Linked DNA regions of Alligator mississippiensis. The protein of the gene in region 1 purifies or fractionates together with the protein of each later gene. This does not show direct contact. Links are inferred from orthologs where the notes say so. Each region holds a gene or a part of one and is shown in the gene's direction. Other genes may lie near its edges.

Evidence for each region.
Region 2: the proteins of MECP2 (region 1) and YBX1 purify together in Homo sapiens (affinity purification with western blotting; 3 studies listed by BioGRID, with this or other methods). This does not show direct contact. The link is inferred for Alligator mississippiensis from reciprocal best matches to the Homo sapiens genes MECP2 and YBX1.

The regions. Positions count from the first base shown.
Region 1 is NC_081831.1:28,770,344-28,777,861, forward strand, and holds the start of MECP2 (methyl-CpG-binding protein 2), read left to right. Parts: upstream 1-4,497; 5' UTR 4,498-4,608; coding exon 4,609-4,643; intron 4,644-7,518. UniProt on the Homo sapiens protein: Chromosomal protein that binds to methylated DNA. It can bind specifically to a single methyl-CpG pair. It is not influenced by sequences flanking the methyl-CpGs.
Region 2 is NC_081836.1:1,388,993-1,396,502, forward strand, and holds the start of YBX1 (Y-box-binding protein 1), read left to right. Parts: upstream 1-4,489; 5' UTR 4,490-4,625; coding exon 4,626-4,782; intron 4,783-4,986; coding exon 4,987-5,050; intron 5,051-7,510. UniProt on the Homo sapiens protein: DNA- and RNA-binding protein involved in various processes, such as translational repression, RNA stabilization, mRNA splicing, DNA repair and transcription regulation.

The DNA.
Region 1 (7,518 bases):
CACATACACAGCCTCACCTGAGCAGAGGGATGGTTTCAATGCAGCCTGCAGAAGATGGCTGCTGGCAGGCTGGGCTTGATCCATGGTCATAGTGGCCAAAAGCTGCATGGCCTGGGCATGGGATGGCTTTGTGTGGTCATGGGACAGCATGTGAAATGCTGGGGGGCAAGGGGGCTTGGCATGAGGGTGGCCATATTGGAGGGCATTGGGTTAGTCTTGCCATGAGCATAGGCATAGGGTGGCCTTAGCATGTGACATGCTGGGGGTCATGGGAGCATCTTGGTGTGATTGTGATCTGTTGGGGGGGGGTGCGCCTTAGTATGAGTGTGAACAGGAGACAGCCTTGGCGTGTGTGTGACATGTTGGGAGTCAGGGGACATTTTGGTCTGAGTGTGGATGTAGGGCCACCTTGGGGTGACTGTTACATGTTGGCAAACTCACAGGGGGCTCCATAGTGTCAGTGTAGACATGGCGCTGCCTTGGCACAAGTGTGATGTGCTGTCAGTTCTAGAGCTCCCTTAGTATGAGTGTGACATGTTGGGAGTCATGAGGCTGTTTTGGTGTGAGCACAGAAATGAGATGGGTGTGGCGTGACAGTGACGTGTAGAATTCCATGCACTGCTTTGGCATGAGTGTGGACATGAGACAACTGTAGCACAGGCATGAAATATTAGGAGTCACAGGGCCACCTTGGTGTAAGCAATGCTGTATCTAGGCTCCTGGTGGCCCTAGGCAAACTTTGAGTATCAGGTCCCCCTTTGCCAGAGATAATGATAATAATAATCAGACTTGTTGCAAAGGTCTTTATCACGTCTGTGGTATCGATGTCTTTAAATAGTTTGTTCTCAGTTGATAATATTGCCAATCCTGTATATGTGCATTAAAACTTTTTTTGCAATTGTAATTTTGTTTTAATTTTCAGGCCTCCTTTCTATCCGGGCCCTAGGTGGCCACCCGGTTCACCCATGCATGTGTCCAGGTCTGGATGTAAGCATGGATATGAGATGACTTCAAAGTGAGCATGATGTTTTGGGGTCCCAGTGCCACGGTGTGAGTGTGGTGTGTTGGGGGTCCTGGTATGAGCGGGGGGGAGGGAGGGCTGTGGCATGAGTGTGACATGGAGATCACAAGACTGCTTTGACATGATGTATTGAGGCTCCTGAGGCTCTCTTGGCATAAGCATAGACTGAAGCCCGTGGTGTGAGCGTGATGTGTTGGGGGTTCTGGGCCACCTTGGTGTGAGTATGAGTGTGGTGTGTTGTGGGTAGCCCCATGAACATGGACACAGGAGGGTGGTGGCATGACTGTGACATGTTAGGGCTCACAAGGCCAGCTTGGTTTGTGTGACATGTTGGGGGTCCCAGCATGAGTGTGGATCCAGGAGGGCTGTGGCATGAGCATAACACAGGAGTCCCAGGGCCACCTTGGCATGAGTGTGGACATATGACAGCCTTGGTGTGAGCATGGCATGTTGGGATCCTGTGGCTGCTTTGGTGTGAGCATGAACATGAGATGACCTTGGCATGAATGTGGGCATGAGCATAGTGTGTTCAGATCCTGGGGCTGCCTTGGTGTGAGCATGGACATGAGACAGCCTTCATAGATTTCATAGACATTAGGGCTGGAACGGACCTTGGAAGATCATCAAGTCCAACCCCCTGCCCCAGGGGCAGGAAGTCAGCTGGGGTCATAGGATCCCAGCAAGATAAGCATCCAAATTTCTCTTGAAGGTGTTCAATGTAGGTGCTTGAACTACCTCTGGCGGCAGTCTATTCCAGACCTTGGGGGCTTGGACAGTAAAGAAGTTCTTCCATATGTCCAGCCTGAAACGGTTATGGAGGAGTTTGTGATCATTTGACCTTGTCATCCTTTGGGGTGCTCTGGTGAACAGACTTTCCCCCAAATCCTGGTAAGCACCCCTGATGAACATATAGGTGGCCACCAGATCACCCCTGAGCCTGTGCTTTTCCAGGCTGAAGCCTCAGCCTGTCGTCGTAAGGTCTGTTTTCCTGACCTCTGATCATGCGCGTGGCTCTTCTCTGGACTCTCTCAAGCTTCTCCCCATCCTTTTTGAATTGTGGAGCGCAAAGCTGGATGCAGTACTCCAGCTGCGGCCTCACCAAGGTTGAGTATAATGGAAGAATGACGTCCTGGGATTTGCTTGAGAAGCATCTATGGGTGCAAGGCAGCATTTTGCTCACTTTACTAGCCACAGCATTGCACTGAAGGCTCATGTTCACCTTGTGGACAATCATGTCCCCCAAGTCCCTTTCATCCGTAGTGCTAGTCAGTGTAGCACTGCTGAGCCTATAAGCATGCTGCGGGTTTTTCCTCCCAAGGTGGAGAACCTTGCATTTTTCAGTGTTAAACATCATCAGGTTCTTGTCCGCCCATTTCATGAGCCTATCAAGGTCAGCCTGGATCGCCCTCCTGTCCTCAGGTGCGGGTGCTGTACCCCAGAGTTTGGTACCATCGGCGAACTTGGCCAGTCCACTTCTGACTCCAATGTCCACATCATTAATGAAGATGTTGAACAAAATAGCCCAGCACCTGACATTAACAGACTGGCTATGATGCTTGCCAGCTCCTTGAGTACCCTGAGATGTAGATTGTCAGGGCCAGCTGACTTGAAGGTGTCCAGCCTCTCAAGGTGTTCCTTCACAAGGTCAGCATTGATGGAGGGCAGGGAATCTCCCCCCACCTGGGCCTCCCTGTCCGGCTGTCAGTTAGGGTGGGCTCCCTCCGGAAAAAGGGGTTGGGGCGGGTGGAACATGTGTGGAGGCTGATTGGGTCTCACTGCCCATGCTGAATGGGCTGGCCTCCTGCCCATCACTGTAGGAGGGAGCGTGGGGGGAGCCCAAGGAGGGGTGGGGCGAAGCATGGTGCAGCTTGGGGCAGAGGGGTTTAAAAATCAATCACAGTTTGCAACAGTCCCAGCCGCCGCCCCGCCCAATACATCATACTCATGTTCACACCAAGGCTGTCTTGTGTGTGAGGGAATCTCCCTCACCTGAGTCTCCCTGTCCCGTAATGGGCAAGGGCGTCCCGTGGGACTGATGAAAGACCGATGCAAAGTACCCATTTAATAGGTTGGCTTTTTCCTGGGCATCAGTTGTCAGTTGTCCCATCTGGTTTAGCTGGGGTCTGATGTTGCCCATGGTTTTCCTCTGGCTCCCCACATATCTGAAAAAGGACTTTTTATTGTCCTTGATACTTGTAGCTAGCTGGAGTTTCGTCACAGCCTTGGCTTCCCTGGTTTGCTACCTGCAGGACCGGACCAGTGCAGAGTATTCCTCCTTGGAGGTGGATCCTGTCCTCCATCCTTTGTAGGCCTTTTTTTTTAGCCAGAGGAGGTCTGCTAGTTCCCTGGAGAGCCAAGGGGGCTGCTGTGCCCTTTTGTTGCCTTTCCTCTGAGACAGAGCCTTAGCTTGTGCATTGAGGACCATTCCCTTGAAGAACAGCCACTCTTCCTGAACTCCCCTCCCCTTGGGGTCGTGGTCCCTTAGGGCCTCACTGACAAGCCTCCTGAGCTTGTCAAAGTCAGCTTTCCTAAAGTCAGGGACTTCTGTATTGCTGACTGACTTGCCAGTTTTATGGCGGATGGTGAAGGTGATCAGCCTTGGTGTGACTGTCAGCATGAGCATGGTGTGTTGGGGTTCGAGCTGGCGTGAGCGTGGACACGAGGCAGCTTTGGTGAGCGTGGCATGTTGGGGTCCTAGGGCTGCCTTGGCATGGGTGTGGACACAAGATGGCATTGGTGTGAATGTGAGCATGGTGTTTTGGGATCCCAGAGCCACCTTGGTGTGAGTGTGGGCATAAGATAGCCTTGATGTGAACATGTGTGGCATGTTGGGGTCCCAGAGCTGCTTTGGCATGAGCGTGGACACAAGACAGACTTGGTGTAAGCATGAGTGTGTGTGGTGTGTTCGGGTCCCGGGGCCACTTTAGCAGGAGTGTGGACATGGGATAACCTTGGTGTGAGCATCAGCATAGTGAGTTGGGTTCCTGAAGCTGCCTTGGTGTGAGCATAGTGTGCTGGGGTCCCAGAGCTCCCTTGACATAAGCGTGGTGACAGCTTTGGTGTGAACATGAGTATGACGTATTGGGCGGGGCAGCGGTTGGGACCGTTGCAAACTGCCGTTGAATTTCAAACCCCTCCGCCCCGCGCCGCGCCATGCCGCGCCCCACCCCTCCTTGGGCTCCCCCCACGCTCCCTCCTACAGTGACTGGCAGGAGGCCGGCCCATTCAGCGGCAGCAGCGAGACCCAATCAGCCGCCGCGCGCGCTCCATCCACCCCACCCACTTTTTCCGGAGGGGGCCCGCCCTAACTGACAGCGCTTCCCGCCAATTCCAACTGCCGCGCGGGGGAGCGCGGGGGGGGGACCCGCCCCGCGGCCCGCCCGCGGGAGCCAATGGATGTGCGGTGGCTGCGTGACGGGCAGTGCCCACGGCCAATCAGAGTGCGGCAAAGGAGGGGATCGGGGAGGGGGTGGGGCCTGCCTGCTCCGGGCTTCCTCTCCGGCTCGGTTTGGCCCCCCCCACCCCGGCTTGGCCCCCCCCCTCCCCCCCTCCCCTCCCCCCCCGCGGGTTTCTTCGCTGCGAAGAAAATGGCGGCGGCGCCGAGCGGCGACGAGGAGCGGCTGTGAGTGCCCCGCGCGCGGCCGGACCCCCGTCCCTCCCCCCTTCTGTGTCGGGGGGGCGGGGGGCGGCGACGACGCGCGAGGCGGTGGGGAGGGGAGGGATGGGGAGGGGAGGGGGGCGTGAGAGGGGGGCGTGCGTGAGTCCCCCCCGTTTGCGCGACCGTGGTGCGTCACAGCGGCCCCGGGAGGGGGGAGGGGCCGCCCGGGGGGGGGCGGGGCCGGGCGAGGTCACAGGTCGCGAACTCCCCCCCCCCCCCCGACATGGGTCACACTAAGGCCCGGGGTGTATGTCATGCCAAGGTTCTGGGCGTAGGACCCATCAAGTGCCGTCACACTCAAACCCCAGGCATGGGTCATGCCAGGCCCTGGTCACACCAGGCCCCTGGGCACTGGTCATGCTAAGTTCCAAGTGTTGGTCGCACTCCCCCGCCCCCCCCTGCCAGTCATGCCGAGCCTCTGGTCACACCAAGACCCTTGGTGCAGGATACACCAAGCCTATGTCATGCAAAGTCTCCAGGTATGCGTCACATCAAGCCCCTGGTCATGCCCAGCTCCCAGTCGTGGGTTGCACCAAGCCCTTGGCCATGGGTCACACCAGACCTTTGGCCATGCCAAGCCCCTAGGTGCTAGTCACACTAAGCTCCTGTGTGCTGGGCACATGAAGCTCCTGGACACGGGGTGCACCAAACCCCTGTGTGCGCCATGTGGGTCACGTCAAGCCCTGGTAACACCAACCTCCCTGCACCACCTCAGCCCAGTCACGCCAAGCCTAGGCGCACCAGCCCTTTGGCATTGCCTGGGTCCAGTCACGTCAATCCCCCCTGTGCCACTCTGGCCCCATCATGCTAACTCCAGTGTCCCAGCCCTGTCACGCGATCCCCACTGCACTGTCCCATCCCCCTCATTCCAGTCCTATGGTGTTTTGTCTGGGCTCACTCGCACCTAGTGCTTTGTACTGTCCACACCCTCTTCATTGGCACACCTGCCCTCCCAGTACTGCACGTGTGCTCCTACTAAGTCTTGCCGCAGCATCCACCCTGCCTTGAGCCATATCAGCAAGGTTGCACATGGGCCACGCCCATGCCAGCACCCGCGTCCAATGCATCCCATGCCCACGCTGCCCAGAACCCTCCGTTTCCATGCATGCTGTCCAGTCTTATCAGGCGTTGCCCCGGCCAGCATCACCCTTCCCAGTCAGCGTCTTCCCAGCCCTCACATGGTTGCTGCCCTCCACATGTGACACCCCCAGTAACCTTAGTGGCTACATGGCTGGGCCAAGCAGTGCAGGCTTATGCCACCTGGCCTGGTCCATGCCTGCTGGACCCGCCTCATGCCAGTTCCCGGCTCTGAGCCTGCCAGGGCCGTGCAACATGCTACTGTCATGCCCGCTTTTGTGACACACATGGACTTTTGCGCCCACCTGTCCAGGGGGTCTCCCAGCTCTGGCCTGTCAACATGACTCATGTGGTTATGGGTTTTCCTGCCTGCTCCTCTGAGAGTGTGAGAACTTATCCACTGCGGGTAGGGCTGGAGTGGGTCTGTTGCACACGGGTTAGCTGGGCAAGGCACTTTGCCTGCCACAGATATTGCCACCCTGAGCTAGGACAGATGGACATGCAAGGAGGAACTATCCTGTCCGTCCTAGTGTAGAAGCTGTAGCCTGGGCAGCTCCACACTCCCAGGCAGACTGACTCCAACAGGGGAAGCTGGGAGCCTGTGGTCCTGATACCAGTGTCAGGCTTGGCATGAAGGCACCACAGGGCTGGGTGGGCAGCTGGACATAGCTCTGAGCAGGCCCTGCTGGCGGCAGGGTGGGGTCGTGCCAGTTGCCCATTCCCAATGCATAGCCAGGATGTGGTCACAGTCCGAGCTTCCCATGCCAGGCAGCCTAGGGGCCAGAGCATGTCCTCTGTGTCCTTGCCGGCAACAGTGAGGGGTGCCAAGTATGCTTGCTTCAAGCCAGGCATGGGCTGGGGGCTTCTTTCTCTTGCTTGCAGGCACCAGGAAGGCAGTGTTGCCTCTCAGTGGGACCTGGGCTGCTGGCACAGCAGGGGGCACCACATAGGGCAGAGGGCACAGCAAGGGGCACTAGTGGTGGTCAAGAAGCCTGGTGCCACTCAAGCCAGGGGTTCTGGTTCCCACAGTCCTTCAGCCCATGGCCTAGAGCATCTGTTACTTCCCGTGTTCAGACTTACAGAGCCTGGCTGTCCACACATGTTTGACCCGCTATGACTGGTGTCTGGAGGCCTGTCCACAGGGGCAGGAGCCCGGCCCTTACCCAGCTAGGCATGGAGCACAGGGAGGGGCTAGAGCTGCAGCAGATGGAAACAGACTGAGGCCCGCTGCTTTCACACCCACCCAATTCCTGTCTCCCTGGCTCAGTGCTGTGGGGCAGCCCTGGCTCAGTGGGTTGGGCCAGTGCCTGGGTTCAGGCATTTGTTACCAGGCTTCTTGGCAGAGAGAGTGGGACTGGGACTGGGGCCCTCACATGGGCGCAGTGCTTTCCATAGCCCCATCATGCCGGGCACAGCACAGCCTGCAGCCCTGTCATGCCAGACATAGCCATGTTGATAGCCCCTTCATGCCAGGCACAGCACAGCCTGCAGCCTAGCCAACACCAGCTCTATAGCACCGGGCACAGCACTGCCCATGGCCCCTGGGTGAAACCAGCCCTGTAGTGATGGGCACAACACTGCCCACAGCCTGGCCAAGGACCAGCCCTGCCAGTGTTCAATACAGTGCCACTGGCAGCCCCATCATGCCAGGCTCAGCACAGCCTGCAGTCCAGCTGAGACCAGCCCTGTCATGACAGGCACAGCACCATACACTGCCCCAGCCAGGACCAGCCCCATCACACCAGGCACAGTGCAGCCTGCA
Region 2 (7,510 bases), on another chromosome or scaffold:
ATTTGAGGTTCTGCCAAGTTTCAGAAGAGCAAAATGTTTCATGCTGCTCATAAGAGGCAAGTAAACCTAGACGCCTGAGAAGCAATTGTTGCACTTCCTAATTCAGGGCAGGTTTGAGACTCAGTGCCTGAGCTGAGTGCCATGGAGCTGAAACCCTTCAAATGAGGGCGGCAAAGCCCACTGAAGGGCCCAGTTATTGCCACGTGACATCACCTGTTCTTAATGCAGCCAGTATCATTGTGCTGACCTACCATTAGGTCGGGTTAGATACCGTTGTGATCCAGTCTGCCCTGGGTATAGTAAGACCTGAATCGTTGCATCTGGGGACTTTGCAACCTGCTGAATGTCAGACAAGCTGCTCGGCTGGGTTTTTTTACTTCTAAGGGCACTGCTTCTCCAACTAGCTGGCTCTCCACTGTGCTCCCAGGTAGCTGACTGGAGAAGCAGTAGCCTTGGAATAAAAGCTGCAGCACCTGGGAGGTTCCTTGCACCTGTTTGGGGCAGCTCTGTCTACCCCCGCATGCTGCACAGACCCTCATCTTCACAGGGGCCTGCAAAGTATCTGGATGGTCCTCTATTGCTACACAGCAGCGCTGTGTGTAAGTAGGCTTTGGGTTACTAGCGCAGTTTCTTTTTCTTACCCTCAGCTTTTTGTTCTGTGAGCTCAGATAACGTGGCACTGACTTGTGTGCATTCTGCTTGCTGCGCCTGTTCCTGTAACTGCTCTTGTTCCTTGTCCACTCCAGGTCTGGTCACTGTTCCCACATCACGCGTCCCTGCAGCTGCCTCAGCCTGATCCTGCAGGTTACAGCTGTGCTGTTGCCACTTCACACCAGGAGTTTCAGATATTCCAGGTCTACAACTTTTTCTTAAAAAAGAGAGAGAGAAAAACCCCCCAAGTCCCAGATGTAAATAAAGCCTTTTGATAAATGTGTGCGCAGTGTGTTCAGTTAGAATAGTCAGGGTTGAGCTTTCCTGTCCTGAAGGCCACATAATCAGTCCAAACCAACCTTTGTAGCCAGAGGCTTCCTAAGGCAAGTTCTTCTTGCGCAGGTGAGCGCCTCACTGGTACAGGAGCTCCTGCACCAGCTGCCCCCTGCCTCCAGCTTACTTGGGAGGGATGTGGTGTGGGCCGAGTTGGAAAGGAGATGGCAGAGCTGCCTCGTGCTGCACCTTCGCTGGCTGCTATAAGCTGTTGGAGTGCCATGCAGTCTGACATGGGTCCGCTAGCCCTGCAATAAGGAGCCAAGCTCAGTTCTTCCTGAGCAGAATCAAAGCCATGCCGTGCAGGCTGTGCTGGCTGGGGTCCAGGGAATTGCCAGGGCCATTTTGAGGCACTTGTTTCACTCTTGCCACTCCCTGCGTTTAGATGACTAGGGAAGAGATGAGGTGAGGCGTAAAGATTTCATGAGCATGAGTTTGCTGTGACCGTGTGTGAGCACTGAAAAGGAAGGGCTGAGGTCATGCAAGTCATTTGAAAGATGTAAAAGTGTTAACGGCATGTATCTCTGCCTTGTGCGTTCTGTGCGTGCCACGTGTTGCAGAAACAATACAAATAGGCTGGAGGCAAGACTTGGAAAAATACCAGGCTCCCACAGGCTTGTCAGGTACCCAGCAGCTGTCACTGCGAGGAAAGGGGTCCTTGTTCTTTGGACCAGTGGGGCAAAAAAACAGACTTGTTTTAAGATGGAGTTTGATATAACTTGATGAACCAGGTTGTATGATGTGGGTCGCTGCAACAGCAGGGGCCTGGCCTGGATGCACCTTCCTCACCTAGAGGCTTTGTATTAATAAATATTTGTGACACTAGAGAACAGGAGGAGGGAAAAGAGAAATGAACTCTGTCGCACTGCCTAGAGGCGCTCTCGGCACGGAAGAGTCGGTAGAAAGCCAGACCCTTAGAGACCCATTCAGAAAACTAGCTCCTGAGCCCAAAATGAACAGAGAGAGCATTTCGGGGCTCTTTGGACATCAGCCCTTCATCAGGGCCAGTGGTGTGAGAAGTCGTATTATGTTACTTGTCACACCCATTATTTCTAGCAGAAAATGATTTTAACAGCTGCCCCCTATGACTGCACATTTGCCTCCACGCTCTGCCTTCCTGGTGGCCAGCACGCTGGGAGCTCTTGCCCTAGGGCTCTGCTCCATCCCCTCAGCCGCTGTACAGGAGGATAGTGGCAGAGGCCTCCTCCCGGCATCTCATAAAGGAGGGGCGTGTGTAGCGGGACCCCTGGCCCCTGCTAGAGGGCAGGTGGGGTGCAGCTTGCAGGAGGGGCTGTGAGCAGCTAACATGGGAGTGTAGAGCCTGTGTGGCTGCAGCAGAGTCGAGGGCTGCTGGGCCCAGTCTGCAGACTGGGATGACTGGTAGCACTTGGCCTTGTGACCAGAGAGCCCAGTCAGGTGACTGGAAGGTGGGGAGGGGGCAAAAGGAGGTAACATGCCCGAGTGTGGGGCTGGGGGCACAGCCTGGCCCAGATCCCCACGGAGCAGGAGCCCTGCAGGTTGCAGCATGCAGAGATAAGTGATTAATTTTGTTTCCGCTCTGGGTTTGTGGCACCCGGAGGCTTGGGAGTGGCGACAGGAGTGGGAGGAAGTCACGGAGGGTGCTGGGGATAAAGGTCAGGCTGACAGACGGATGGTTACCTGGGTTATCGTGTTTACCCGGTGGCGCGTGCCCCTGCCCTCCCCCCCGCCTGTTTTTGTGGGGCAGCATCGCGGGGAGCTCATATCTGCAAAAGTGTAGCACCTCTCAAAACTCTAGTACGGTGGATGTGCCTGTCGGCCGGGCCCCGAGCGCACACGCGCCGGCCGGGCCAGTCTGATTTTCTGATGGCGAGCCACAACCCTCGACGCCGGAGCTGTCAGATGTGGTCAGCGTGGCCCCCGAGCTGGGGGAATCAACGCTGCTAACCTGCCCCCCGGGACTGGCGTGCTGCATCTGCAGGTCAGCGGTAGCACGAGCCTTGGGGTTCGGCGTCCGGGCTCCGCTCCTGGCTAGAAGCGCGACTAGGCGCAGAGCGGCGGTTACGAGCTACAGCCCTGGAGCGGCCTGGGCCGCTTACAAGAAAAGGCCGAGCAGGTGGTGTCTGTGCGACCCGGGCTGGTACCAGCCCCAGCAGCGACGGGGGTCCGATGCGCAGGTCGCGCTGTGAGCTCCTGCCTCGCCGCGGGCGCGTTACCGCGCAGGACCAGGGGCCTTGCAGGCCCCGCGCCAGTGCCGGCGCCTCTGCAGGGAAGAGTGGTGTCGCCCGCCATCTCCCTGACCCGCTTCGGCCTGGAACGTTTTTGACCGGGGGAAGTAATCCTGGTCCGTGAAGAAACGCTCCTCCGCGGGATCGCAACCACCATCGGGAACCACGTGGGGCCCGTCCGCCTGCGCTGCCCCGCGGGAGGGCACTCCCCACCCCGCGCAGCCCAGGCAGCGGTCAGTCGTGGGGGCAAGACCGCCCCGGGCAGCTCCGCCGCCCCCGGCTGTGCGTGCGCCTCCTGCTCCCGGCCGGGCCTTCGCGCCGACCGCTTCGGCTGCACGGACGGCCCAGGCGGCCCTCGCTGGAGGGCGGGCGGGCAGCGCCTCCCGGACGCCTTCCGTGCGGGTGCGCAGGTGGAGGCGCGGCGCGGGCGGCGGGGAGCGCGCGGGGCTGCGCACGCCAATCCCCCGCGGGCGGGGCCTGCCAGCCCGCTTCACGCGCGTCCTCGCCGGCCTGTCACTCGAGCGGTAGCGGCGCGCAGCGCAGGGGCGGCGCACCGCACGGGCGGGCGGCCACGCCGCCATCGTGCTGCCCGGCTGCGCCGCCCCCGCCTACACCGGCCCCGCGCTGCCGCGCTCCCGGGGGCGGCCGTCCGTCCGTCCGTCCGGCGGCCGCGGCGCACCGCACCGCTCAGCGACCGAGACTTCCTCCTGCGAGCCTCGGCCCCGCGCCCCGCCGCCGCCTCGGGGGGAAGCAGTGCCGCGGGGAAGCGCTGGCGGCGCGGCAGCCCGCTGCACCCCGGCTGCCGGCCTGCTCCCGCCACGCGCGGCCCCGCGGCGCTGCCCGCCCGCCTGCCGGCAGCCTCCGCGTGCCCGCTCTGCGCGGCCGCTCCGCGGGGCGGGGCGAGACCCCGAGGGCATGTCCGCGTCCTGTCCTCCGGCGGGGCCGCAGCCAATCAGGCTGCAGGGGGGCGGGGAAACCAGCCCGGGAGCAAAAAAAAAAAAAAAAAAAAAAAAAAGGGGGGGGAGAAAAAACACCCCCTGCGGGCCGGAACGAGCCGCGTAGCCAATTGGCGCGCGCGGCCTGTGACAGCCAAGCCCTGCCGCCAATCGGCTTGCATACGGGCTGGACGGCCCCCTGAAGGGCAAGCGGGCCGGCCAGCGAGCGCGCGGGGCGGTGGCGGAGCGCAGCCAACGGGCGCGCGTGGCGCCTGACAGGCGGCGGCGGCAGCCAATGGGGCCGCGCGCGGGCGGGGCGCGGCGGGTGGCTAGCCGGCGCGGGCCGCCATTGTGGCCAGTTCGATCGGGATCGGGAGCGGAGAGCGGAGCCCAGCGAGCCCGGAGCAGGGAGCAGCCCCCGGCCGGCCTCAGTCACCATCAGACCCCGCGGAGCGGCGCAGCCAGTCACCACCACCGTCCGCACCCCGCCGCCGCCGCCATGAGCAGCGAGGCCGAGCCGCAGCCGCCCGCCGCCCCCCTCCCCGCCGCGGCGCCCGCCGCCCCCGCCGACTCCAAGCCGGGCGGCGGCTCCGGCAACGGGGGCGGCGGCCTGGCCTCGGCGGCGCCTCCCGCCGGCGGGGACAAGAAGGTCATCGGTGAGCGCGGGGCCGCGCGGAGGGGCGGGGGGCGGGCGCGGGCGGCCGTTGGCGCGGAGCCGTTGGGCCCCGCGTGGCGCGGGGGGGGCGGGGCGGGGCGGGGCGGCGCCTCAGCCTCAAAATGTCCGCCACGCGCGGCCTTTGTGTGCGGCCGCCACGTGCCCGGCCCCACCGCCACCGCCGCCTCCGCCTCCTCTCTTGCAGCAACGAAGGTTTTGGGAACAGTGAAATGGTTCAACGTGCGGAACGGCTACGGCTTCATCAACAGGTGAGCCTGCCCCCCCACCCCTCGGGCGCTGTCACCGGCAGCCGGGCCGGGCTCGGAGCCCCCGCGTTACACCCGCCGCACGGCCCGGCACGGCCCTGGGGGAAGGGAAGGCGAAGGCGCGCGGGGGTTTTGTTACCGACTCGCGATGCCGTCGGCGCCGAGAGGCGGCGCCGCGCGTTTTTCCGGAGTTGAGCTCGGGCCCCTGCAGCGCCGGTTACGAAGGACTGACGTCCAGCGGGAATTTAAGCCTGAGAGCGCGCTGCCCGCGGGAGCCCTTTTGGAGCAGCGTCAAGAAGCCGAGGGCCACGTTGGTGTCGGTCGCGATACCAAGGGGGTTTCTGAAGCTTTCCTCGCTTTTGAGGCTGTTCTACACTTTCTGCAGTACGGAGGGGAGCTGTGACAGGCTGGCGAGGGCCGTCCGGCAGGGCCGTGGCGAGGTGCTGAAGTCATCGTGCGTTAATAAAACGCAGCTTGGTAGCAGAGTCCTGCCGCTGCCGCCCGGGCTGTCACTGGGCGGGCGGGCGGGCGGGCGTCCGCGCCGAGCGGGTGACGGGCTCCGCGTGGCTGGGGCCTGGCCAGCGGTGTCCGACTCGCTCAGCACACCAACGAGCTGTAGCTGGGGGCAGCCGCGTGTCTCGCTGTACGGGCAAGCTCGCTGGAATTTAATTACTTCCTGCCCAGCTGCCCGGGAGCTTTTAACAAGTTGCTGTCTTGCCCTTTCCTCCCTAACTTGGTAAGATCTTGAGGTTACACAGATGAGCGTTAGGAAAATGTAAATTACTTGAATCCTGAGGTTTATGACACAAGTGAAAGAGAGGTATTTAATTACAGCTGAGGTGTGGCTTTTAATTCCTGCCATGTCTGCCTCTGTATAATGCGGAGGTGACATGACACTGAAGGCCTGCTTTTTCCAGAAGAGGCTGGGTAGGGTCTGATGTTTTATTATTTGACAAATTGACTGTACTATTCAACTTCATGATCCCAACTTTTTAATTGGATTGTCACATTTTGAAACTTAAGTGCCTTGCTTTTCTATAGAGTTGGATTTCCTGTGTGGTTGCCAACTTCTGTAGTTGGACGTTGAATAATAGCTTGTTGTTTGGTGCTAAAGTTGTAAGTTCTGGCAATTCTGCTTTTGGTAAATTTGCGTAAAACGGTACTTTGCCAGTTCTGTAGGGAACGCCGAACTACACACTTGAAGAAAAGAAACAATGCAAGAAAATGACAGCTGATAGTTAAAAGGCATCTGAATGTTTCAGAGCATGCATTGGGCTTAATCCCCTGGGTTGTCATTTTAATGAGAAGCCCAGCACGATCTCGTGTTAACAGGACTGCGCGAGAAGAGCTGCAGCCTGAGAAAAGGAGCTAAAGGGCATGTCCACAGTTCTGAGCTCTGGCTAGTTAACTGTAGGGGAAAAAAAATCCCTTAAAAAAAGGTGTGGGGCGCTTTACTGCTCTTGCATCTAACTATATCTTTCTGTGAATATATTTGCAATTCAGATCCATCCTTTTTGATGGAAACATCTGCTGGCTTAAAGACAACATTGCTGCTTTCTTTCTAATTATTTTGTGTTTTTAAAGTGTATTTTCACTCTGAATGTTGGCCTGAGTCCTAAAAAAAACAAACCTGTTGTTGTTTTTTCTAGCAGTTATCATAAATAGTAAGTGGTTCAGAAGGGCATTGATACAGCCCTGTTACTTATCTGCAATTGCAGCTCAAGTGTTTAGCGGTCTGTTAATGCCACTTCATAACAAGTCCTCTGGAGCTTTGTCTTAATCAGCAGATCTGCTCTGCATGAAGTCGGACCATAGTCCTTGTTCAGCCAGTCCCTCTTCAAGCTTTGCATTATGAAGAAGTTGAAAAGATTTGTAGTTCAACAAGATAAGCAGAAGGCAGGAGGAAGCTGAGCACTCAGCCACTTTGCATTATGAGGTGTTTCAAATGACACCAGCCAGCTACAAACCCAGATTTGTTAAAAGGGAGTGAATTTGTGGATCTCATAGTTGGAAAACATAATTTGAAGCAATGAGTTTGGGACTTAAGAAAGTCATCTACAAGTTACTAATTTATCCAGAAAGAGTACATTGATTTGTAAAGGCTTTTTTTAGAAGTAAATCTTATTGTCCGCTGTCAGACAGGATCCTGGATTTGATGGACCACTGATCTGATTAAGTTTGGCTAGAGTAGAAGTGTAATTAAAGCTTTTTAATGGTCCTTTATCATTTATAGGCTCTTATCTCGCACATGCTTAGGATTGTGTTTGTGTTCTAGTTGGTTGCTTTGAGGCCATTACAGGTTTTCCTTGAAGATGACTGGAAGTTTTGGATCATCTTAAGCCTACTAGGCATCTGGTATCTATTGTAAATCCCCTTGTTGGCATTAAATGAAGTTGAAAGGTGGACATGGATGGCTTGAGACATCTGATGTGTGGAGAGCTACGTATGGAAAATATTAGCGAC